2 linked regions of the Neodiprion lecontei genome follow. The protein of the gene in region 1 interacts with the protein of each later gene in a pairwise test. Links are inferred from orthologs where the notes say so. Each region holds a gene or a part of one and is shown on either strand. Other genes may lie near its edges.

Evidence for each region.
Region 2: the proteins of E3 ubiquitin-protein ligase AMFR (region 1) and ubiquitin-conjugating enzyme E2 W interact in a two-hybrid assay, tested with the Homo sapiens proteins (2 studies listed by BioGRID and IntAct). The link is inferred for Neodiprion lecontei from reciprocal best matches to the Homo sapiens genes AMFR and UBE2W.

Annotation. Positions count from the first base shown.
Region 1 is NC_060260.1:39,792,573-39,797,613, forward strand, and holds the start of E3 ubiquitin-protein ligase AMFR, read right to left. Parts: upstream 3,123-5,041; 5' UTR 2,910-3,122; exon of another isoform or gene 2,789-2,909; intron 1,941-2,788; exon of another isoform or gene 1,810-1,940; intron 1,694-1,809; exon of another isoform or gene 1,628-1,693; intron 1,422-1,627; 5' UTR 902-1,421; coding exon 635-901; intron 1-634. UniProt on the Homo sapiens protein: E3 ubiquitin-protein ligase that mediates the polyubiquitination of lysine and cysteine residues on target proteins, such as CD3D, CYP3A4, CFTR, INSIG1, SOAT2/ACAT2 and APOB for proteasomal degradation.
Region 2 is NC_060265.1:21,203,459-21,209,222, forward strand, and holds ubiquitin-conjugating enzyme E2 W, read right to left. Parts: upstream 4,039-5,764; 5' UTR 3,815-4,038; coding exon 3,791-3,814; intron 2,777-3,790; coding exon 2,426-2,776; intron 1,970-2,425; coding exon 1,894-1,969; intron 1,654-1,893; coding exon 1,640-1,653; 3' UTR 711-1,639; downstream 1-710. Other genes in the region: protein MCM10 homolog, read left to right, coding at 4,612-5,764. UniProt on the Homo sapiens protein: Accepts ubiquitin from the E1 complex and catalyzes its covalent attachment to other proteins.

The sequences.
Region 1 (5,041 bases):
GTCACGAAACCTCAGACTAACGAATCATCGTTATCGGGCAATTTAAGAACGACTTTCAAGCAAGTGGCTTTACAAAATTAAACTATATTCTGTTTATAATGATTTACTAATTCTCGAAAATTCTTAAAGACACGAAGTAGCGATTTTTCATTAACAAGCATCGTTACAGTAACGCTACTTAAACTTCATGCTCATACTTGAACGAGGTTGAAGTTAGGAACGTTATCTTCACGAAACACTGGGGATAAAATCGTCAATTTCTTATTTGTTACAATGATTTTTAAGCAACTAAGATTGTGAAATATGAGTATGTTTTCTGTTATAACGGTTTACTGAGTTTCAAACAGTTCCAAAATCACGAATTAACGGTTTTTTCTCAGCATGAATCTTCACGACACGTTCCCAACTTCAACATGACAAAAAAAGGACAAGACTGAAGTTAGTATCAATCATTACTCCGCAACATCCGAATAACGTTCAAGTAGTTTGCTTTCAAAATTATACGAGTATGTTTTGTTCACCAAGGTCTACCAATTTTCCAACGAGTTCTCCTAAACACGCTAGCTTAAGTTGAGTTACTAACTTAATCTTCGTGATATATAAAAAAAAAAAACAAGTGTCGAGTGAAACTCACCCATATGCATCCCGGCTCCTGAACCATGCAGGCAAAAAGTTCCCTCATGTGAACACCGAGGGTCCTGGAATCGACAATGGCCGATGCATTGTTGTCGGTGGCGTTTCCCACAGCGGCGACCAAGGAGTTCGGATGATTGTTCCGCCATCCTGGATCCTTGACGATTTGTGCAGCGTAGTAAATCGAACAGGACAATATCGCGATGCTTATCGAGGTGTAAGCGCGTAAGCTCGGGACCGGCAAGCGGTCGAGAAAAACCATCGGCATTTTTACTTTTTATTTTTACAATTAATTAATCGCACTTGGGTCAAGTGCAACTACTTGACAACCACCACAACCACCACCACCGTTCACTACAGGCTGGTTTCACCTCAAATGCGTTTCTCTTGGTTCTCTGGATCACCTCGTCGATCCTCGTCTTTCTTTCTCTCTCTCGCTTGTTTTTCTTTTTCTTCGATATTTTCTACTCGGTTAACTTTTTACTCTCGGTCGTCACGGAGTTGCGTGCACCTGGTTGAAAGAAACACGATTGTTGTCGCAATATTTAAGTACGCCGGCAATTATTCACGGTATTTTACTACAATTGTAAACTTGACGAATTGCTTTTTTATTTTTGGCTCTCTGCGTCTCGTTCTCCTTGATCTTGCTTTGCTTTTAATGTTTATTTAAGTCGATGCGGCGCTTCGTAATAGATGCGGGTAGTTATTTTTAGGTACACCAACACTCACTCCCCAATTTATTAATATGTATGTTCGACGTCCGACGATCACCGGTAGAGTTTAAAAACCTGAAATCGAATGCGACAAAAAATTACTCTGACTGTACGGTATACTACTCAGTTTACTACAACTCCTTTGATTTTTGGGCTACTCATTTGTTCGTTTTCTTTTTTTCAATTTTTCACACCGATTCTTGAATATTCGAAACGGTGTGAAAAAAAAAAAAAAAAAAAAATTTGGGGAAAAAACAACATGTAAAAGTTATGACATTTACACGAATCTTTCACATATCACTGCTGTCACTTTATGAATCAGGCTCTCGCGCTACGAGGTTCAATTGATAGGATACCGGTAAAATTTGAGAAAAAAAAAAAAAAAGAAAAAAAAAACAATGACGACCGGCTTCGCGACTCGAAATAGTGAGGTTATGTAACACCGGGTTTAAGACTACTTAACCGAGAAGGAGATGTAATTTCGGACCGCGGAGATCAGGACCGAAAAAACAACGACGAAAATTATATGACGTTTGTAAATAAAACAAAACTAATAGACAGAGACGACGAACAAAAACAAACTGTGATATATCGGTGCGTGCACTCGGCACTGCGGTCAATGCGTCGATGAACAGAAACGCAGGTCCGGCATATACCTAGAGAAGTGACAGGTCGAGAGAACGCGGAAGGGGGGGGGGGGGGGGGGGGAAATAGGGGGGGGATAGTGAAAAAAAAAAAAAAGAAAGGAGGGCGATCCGGGGAAAGCATTTGAGACGAGTCGTCGACAGAAAAAGAGAGAAAGAAAGAGAGAGAGAGATGGAAGGAGGGAAAGAAATATCTCGTTTGTTTGTTTGTCTCGGTATCGAATTTCATTATTCACATATGAATATTATAATATGCGAGACTTGTGGTTGTAAACTAAATCAACGGTAAATCCTTTCCTTCACATCGAAGTTTACATCGACTGATCATTTATAGGATACGGAAATTACATGTGTCCGTCATTTCACTCCGACTGCTGTTCGGACATAAATATAATCGCGGATCTAGGAATTGCGGAGGGGGGGGGGAAGATTTATTCGAGTTTGTATTAATATAGAAAATTAAGTATTCGCCCCTCCCAGGATTACCTGCCTGTGTGATACGTACGGGTGATTATTGGGTGGAAAAAAAAAAAAAAAGGAGAAGGACGAAAGGCATGAAAGCAGGGACAGTGAGAGAGGGAGGGGGGACATACACACACGCGCAAAGCGGCGTTTGCAACGCCGAGTTTTTCTTCGATACCGAGGAGAGATTTAGAGAATTCAACGGCAAATCTACGCGACACATAACCAATAAATTGCCAGCTATACGATGCACGTAATCAGGGGTCAAGCAGCGCGAGTTTTGTTGTTTTTTTTTTTTTTTCTTTTTTCTTATCACTCTCCGCGTTGATACCGCACCAATTTTCGTACCTCTGTCGTAACCCAGTCGGCGAATTTTAACTCTCCTGGATCCTAACAGCAGTTCGCTACGAGCAGCACCGAGGCTGCTGACATAATATCGACGGAATTGTAACCTTACGTTGCGAAACTCCGAACTCTGCACCCGCCACGCACTAATTTTTCACCGATACGGTGTGAAATCCGTTCCGGGATTATTATCTCAACTGGGGATGGATTTTCGGCCGCGGAATCGCGACTACGCGACTGACAACCTTCAGGCTTCTCGTGCCACGGCTGACACTCGGTACCCGTGCACACTGCACACGCATCTTTTTCACTTTGCGGTCAGACCAATCCCGAGGCTGTGCTGTGATCTAGGCGGCAGGCAGCTTTCGGCGCGGATCGTTCGGATTACCGCAGCGGCGGGGTGCCGGGCGATGATCGATCGGTAACTTACCGACGGGAAGGACGCCTGCGTCTCAGTACAGGTAGCGCTACCTACCGCTTTTATTGTCGAACCTAAGACGGCGCTATTCGAAGCGACTGAGGCGGGAAGATGCATTGTACTAAATGCAATATGAATGAAACAGTAGATCGTTATTCAGACGAACGGAAAAATTCTGTGATTCAAGTGAATTTCCAGGATCCGTGAACGTTGTTTCAGTTTGATGATCACACGGAATTCGTTGTGGTTACATAAAATTCAAAAAAACACAATTACTTGATATCGGAATTCAAGTCTCAAATACGCCGTTGACTGAAGATTGTTGAAGTCTAGATTTTCATGCGCAGCAAAATACTGCGGTTGCAATTTTCTCCTTCAAGTATGCTAAGAAAACAGGTAGTTTACATTCAGCGCGCACCAGGTAGCGCTAGACTTCGTTCTATAGAGACTCTACGTAGCGTTTCCCTGATGTGTTGGCATTCCTATTGATCAAAAAGTCGGGAACAAAATACTACGGTAGAATTTTGCTACCCGTGAAAAACCAAGACCGCTACTGCAGTTTTATTTTATTTTTTTTTCTCATGAGATAGCGTGGTAAGCGGCTCCCGCCGATAAAGAAGCTACCGGATCGTTGGCAGGGCTTCTTATGGCCCTGGGCTCACTTACCTACCGAGCACTGGTCAGGCACTTTTCGATGACGTTTCAACATTAGCTCTACAAGGTAGCCAATTTGCGAAGACATCTTTGAACAAGAAGACAAACTGTTTCAAACATGTAGCGATAGGTAGAATTTGAGTTATCGACCCGACATTACTATTTAACTTACGAACTGATTGAAAATGTGTAAGAACTAAACAAAGAGTATATTTGCCGAAAATATTTCTAGCGCCGAATAAAGTATACTGAAATTATACCTTTTTTTTGCAGGAATTACAATGGAGGAAACAATTAATTACTGTAACAATTTCGCTGTCGTTATCAGTATGTTATTGAAATAAGTCTTATTTATTGGCTTGAAAGACTGTTATTTACATATACAGGTCTGTTCATTGCTATATGAGAAAACATGTTGAATAATTTTCTCAGAAAATAAAAGAAGCTCGTGTATATCATGAGTAAATAATATTATCAAACGATAAAAATAAATACAATCTTAAAAAGTGGAGGAAAAATAAAAAAAAAAAATAAAGCAATGAAACCGAACCAGAGTAAAATTCATATTATAAATTGCTAAAAAGATTCGCGTCTGTTATCATTTTAAGTTTATCTACTACGTTAGATTTTTCACACATCTTCAGACTGTTGAAAAAATTATACTAACAATAATAATTATGCGTGCAATATTGCTGTTATTAAAAAATGTTGTACTGTCCATTCATCAAAAGTGGTACAGCCATGTCCCATTTACGATAACGGGTTATAACCTGAGTATATCTACAATAAATACGCCATTTAGATAATAATTATGCTTGTTGCTACAGTCTGTAGAAACAAGAGTCGATTTCAGTACGGAGTATATTTTGCCTTTTTTTTCCTCTACAATTCTGCGAAATTTTGACTCGACATTGGTTAAACTGCGAGGTGAAAATCGTCCGGTATACATATACGTATGATGTACATACGTAATATAAGTATCCGAACGGCTGATTTACAACTCGAATAAGCAGCGTCCGAGGTGCGTGAAAGTATTGTCAAGCAACTCGCAGCGCGAACTTAATAATTCAAGGCAGTCTTCTTCAAGTTTTTGCTCGGTTTGAACCATACGTTGAACTTAGCTGCACAATTAGCCGAATGATTCTACGTATTCACTTGTTCTCCTTTGAAGC
Region 2 (5,764 bases), on another chromosome or scaffold:
GCAAGAGCTGTCGAATTGGCGCAGTTGCATCCAAGATGGTCTATCAACACGTTGCGCAAAAGATCGACACGTCTATTGAAGGATAGATCACAATTGGCGCGATGGAAAGTACACATTGAAAGAGGTGGAACACGATACGATAAATTAGCAGTGATAAATAAGAATGTTTATGATCGTTTTGTTGAGGTAAAAAATCACAGAAGAGTTACTGTCACAACCGGCTTGCTGAAAGAATGGGCAATGGCTGCTGCTATGCAATATCTCGATGGAAATTTCGATTTCAAAGCATCAGATGGTTGGGTGAGGGATTTCAAAAGAACACATGGAATAACATCATAGTAGCGCACTGTCAAAAATCCATTAGCCACTCAACATCAGCAACATTTCAGGAATTGATTAACACTGCACTGAATTAATCAAGCTATTCAATAAAATCAAGAAAAGATACTGTGTGCAGAAACAATAGTTCTTTTCTACACAGTTTTTAAGTGCAGACTCCCACCTTGAGGCATGTGTGGTGGTCATTATCGTGAAATTTATACATCAGTGATGAAAACATTTTCATCATCACTGGAAGCGCAGTAGGTAATAATTCATCCTCTACTTCGTCAGACACGCGTGGTGTGCTGAAAAGTGAAAAAACTTGGGAAAATTCTTTTTCGAGAAGCCAAACACAGTTACAGTTTTCAATGAAATGAAAAGATACGGCATTAAAAACTCAGGGACAATATTTATTCAGCGCTTTTTAATAGTGCCATAGGATATTAAATACTTTTCTTGATTTTCTAATGTTGTAAGAATTGTGATTGAGATCCGTCGTAAACAAATAATTATTACACTTGTGCTAGGTCAGTTGTTTATGTTAATATGTGAGAGAGGTAAGAGGAAAAATTATGTTACTTGATAATAAAATTATTTTCATCACAAATCAGGGCCTGGTAATACAAAAAATGATCCTTCATATTTTCAAGCTAAATTTTAATTCCTTGATTAAAATAAGGTTCAAATTTGGTGGCACTTCTCCAAACTCTAAAATGCATCTGAAATCAATGTGAAAACATATCCAACGTGTCTTAAAGTAGGATATAATATATTCTTTTTAAATAAAAATTATACGTTTGTGAAAAATTTCCCATTTTTTTGCAAATAATTATTGACTCATGCGATTTTGATGCTTACAAGCAACAGAGAAATTGATTTTCTAATGCTAACTAATGGATGATATTTTACTGCGATGAAATTTTTAATACGCCATTTAGTTTTTTGATCATATGATTTCTGACATGGATAAGAATATGTCATGAATTTTTTTTCTCTTTTCTACACTTTGAGATAAATAATAATACTGTATAATCCAACGTTTACACAACTGATTCAATCACAATGTTTCTTTCCTGTTCTTGGATTTTTATTGTTAATAGTATTATTTTATGACTTTATATTTCATTATATTTATTTAATTTACTATCGCCACAATAAGAACGTTTCTACGATTCCAAACGCGTTTCTCTTTTATGTTCCTTTGTTCGAATTCTTTTAATACGCAGATCGCGTCGATCAACTGATCATGATCAATAGTTCGGTCCAAATTACGCCAGTTGTCAGCGCACGCCAGTCCAAGATTAATAGTGTTCAAGAATCAAACACTATCGTCTGTTGGCATAGAAATAGAATATATTACACATATAATATATATTACCACGACAAGTCAAGCTGATGTCTGCAACTGTATGAGTGCAAGGATATTCATGTTTTGTTCCAATTATCCAGACATTATTTTTAATATGGTAGCTTTTTAAACATCCATGACAATTTTAATACTTGAAAATAATGATAAAATTTCAAGCCATGTGATTTCCAAATATATTTTATTTGTGCAGTGTACGAACGTACCGTGATACCACCATTTCGTTTTCTTTGGATTCTTATTACATGTCTTCACATAAAAGGAATTATCAGGTGGCCTTTTCTGCGAACCAAAAATAAAAAAACAATTAGAATTGGAAAGATTCACCCATAGCATAAAATTGCTCAATACTCAATAATAACTTCAAATATTCAAAAGAAGGAATTGAAGATTGTGGTAAATTTTTCTTTTGTATAAAATAATGAATATTACTGGAAGCTTGAACATCTTTCAATGTTCTGCTTTTTTGTTGACAGATCATTCCTACTAATGATGAACAAAACTTAGATCCAAACTTTCGAACTATAACTCAGAAGAGTTGATGAACTAAGATCTTCATTATTTCATTTTCACAGTTAAATGTATTCTTCATAAACTGAACAAGTCAACTGAGGAAACCAGGTATTTGAAACGCTTTGAACAACTCAATGAGTCAATTAAGATAGCGAGGAACGAATATAAAACAAAAGAAAAATCATACAAGAAAAAAAAACCACATAAAAAATATTAGAGCATTACCTTTTCTTTGCAACTGCTCAGCATAGAAACTATACTTAAACAGACGCTTTGGACACTCAGAGCAGGTGACCAATCATCAGTCAGTATAGACAGACAGATATGACCATTGCTGTAGACATGTGGATGAACAGGGATGTTGCCTCCAATAAATGTGACTTCAGGTGAATCAAATGGGTACTTGGAACTGAACTTAAATTGCAACTGAAATCTTTCACCCTCGTATAGCGTCCCCTTTGCTCCTTCCATATGGATTATCCATTGTGTCAGATTCTGGCCAGCTTGATCACCATCTACGTGAACACCAGGAGGTGGTTCACGCATCAATGACATCAACTCCTTTTGTAATCTCCGCTGAAATCCAGTAAAATTTATTCTTTGTCAGATAAAGTAATTCAAATGAGGGTCAAGAATAACTAACAGAATTTGGAGACTATACCACAGAATCTGCTGAGAGTAAAACCCACGGGTAATTAACTAGTTATATTTTGAATGCTGTTGTAGATAACCTAGTAAAATATCAAAGTATCTATGTACCATAATATTAATAAAATTTATCACAGAGAACTGCCTCGGAATGAAGTTCTTGGAACAGTAGGTAAGCAATTATCAAATAACTTATCAAAATTGACTATATTCTACATTAGCAAGTTTTAATCAAATTTCTTTGTCTTCATTTAGCAACTTGTGAATTCTTTGATTTTTTCCTATTCTACCGATTTCCCAGGTTTGTGACAACCTTGGCAAATACATTGATATATTCGATTATTTGTGAACTAGTGGCGGTTGTACAATAATTTAAAGTAAAAATTTCTATCTTGCATTTTTCTGTAGCAGAAGCGATATATAAAATCTAGGACATCTGTCACAAATGAACAAATGTGCTTGGACCACATTAAATTTAATAATTATAATAATCCAGTTTTCGAAGTGTCAAACATAATCCAGTCTTGTACATTATAGACCAGCCATAATTTTTCATTTTATAAGACTATTTTGCTTGCGTTTGTGAGTCATAAGGTGGGATAAAAATATGTTATCACTTTCAGTTAAGCATAGAAATTCATTGTTCAGAATTATCATGAGTCACATACGTCAAAAGATTTAATACAAATTGCATTGGCACGTGACTAAGCGACGAAAACTAAAATTGACAAATGGAATAAATAAATAGAGTAAAACGTCACATTGGCCCAAGAGGACAATGCACTCACGTAGTTATTGGACTAGATACCCAATCGATACACTTTGGTATCTCAATTTTAGCTACCCAGTAAAATAAAATTTGCACACTACTTAGAAGCGTAGTAGCAGTCAGAATAATCTGACATTCACCTGCATTTCGCAAAAAATTTAACACCGACTCACCTCGGACGGGGACATTGCCGCCATTATTGTTAAACAGCACTTGAAACATAACCATTCATGGTATCGGAAAATTATGAACTTTAACGACGATTGTTTGGTATCTGAACGGTAAGAGGTGATGAATATTTGCAGCTATAAAATCGCATTATATCAACTTTATTCCAGATACATTGGTAGCGCCTAATTTGGAAACAAGTTTGTTAATTTGACAGTAATCCAAACTGACACTAAAGACAAGCAGCACCAGGCCACAGCAGACAGACCTCTGACCACACAATCCATGCTAGAAATAGTAACGTCAGAGATGCCCGCATAAAATTTTGACGACTGTAATTACCAACAGGTGTGTCAATTATTCCCGCTAGAGGCGCAGCGTCGGACTACTCATTATTACCATATTATTATCCATGAGTTTTCTACTCGTTCCAATCTCTCTATATAGTTCGTGATTGTTAATTGTGACTTACCCGCCAAAAAGTATGGCGAGGCAAATGTAAAGATATGTGTCAGCAAATTCATATTGGTTTTTAAGTAATCATTTTTGACAGAAATCCACCGTAGTGATAAGTGCAACGTGTGCTGCATCAAATATATTGATATATTTAATACATAATAATGTCCACCTGAATATACAACTTCCTTGACGTTTTTTATAGATTCATAGATTTCTGTTCTAACCAACTATTGTCTGGCAATACACCAAAGGTAAAAGAAGAATGATATTAATTATCTACCAAGTCTAAGAATACAATAGATATAACAGTGAATTTTATTTCAATGAATTTTTTGCTTTTTTATTTAGGTAGAAAACCTGTTTGACCATGGCTAGTGACAATGATTCCGACGTTGGAGATTTGCTAGAAGATCTGCTAGCAAATGATGAAACAGAAGATGCAGATGCATCCATTCAAAAATCAAAGCCAACAGAATCAAGCCTCAACTTTTTAGAACAAGAAACTAATATTCCTAGTCCTCATAGATATTCTACACTCGGTAAAAAAACTATGATTCACAATGGTGATACGGATTCATCTGATGATGAAGATAAACGTGATTTTGAAAATCAAAATTACTCCAGCTCAGGTCGAGAGATAAAGAACATTTTAAAGAGTAATGCATCCGAAACAAACACCTCTTATCCAAAAACATTTAAAAATACATCCGGATCTTTCACTAAAAATCACAGTACTGAGTTATGCTGTCCACCTGACTCCACCAAGACTGAATCAAAAGACATATACTGCGACCCAATATTTGGGTTAAGAATTATAAATCCTGTTGTGTCTTCAGCCTCTCTAAAGGAAAGAATGACAGGTAGAACACCAGTCACAGTTTCTAGAATCAAATATCACTTGAACACTGCAGATCTCCAAACTGACTGGGTAATTGCCGGAGTACTTATCAACAAATCTGGTACACGCAGTTCACAAAAAGGAAACCAGTACTGTATCTGGAAGATAAGTGACCTGTCTGATGGTATTAAAACCGTATCTTTATTTTTATTTGGTGATGCCTACAAATCATTTTGGAAAACTAATACTGGCATGGTGATTGGAGTTTTGAACCCAGGAGTACTGGATAACAAAGATGAAAATATAAATGAGGCAGCCTTATCTGTTGATAATGGACAAAGAATAATGATATTGGGAGTGTCTAAAGACATGGGAGTTTGTAAATCGAAAAAGAAAAATGGTGAACCATGTACAAGTATAGTAAACTTACATAAATGTGAATATTGTATATATCACGTTCAACAAGAATATAATAAATGCGCCCGGAGATCCGATTTACAATCATCCAGTAATAGCAGAGGTGTGTCTACAAAAAACGCTTTGCAGAACAAGTTACTAGGTAAAGGTGAGACTATATATGGTGGACGTAGCTTTACGGCAGTTCCAGCTAAGAGAAATTTTAAAATGTTAGAAAAAGATCGGGCTCGATTGGAACTTCTACAAAATCCTACCCCAACAAGAA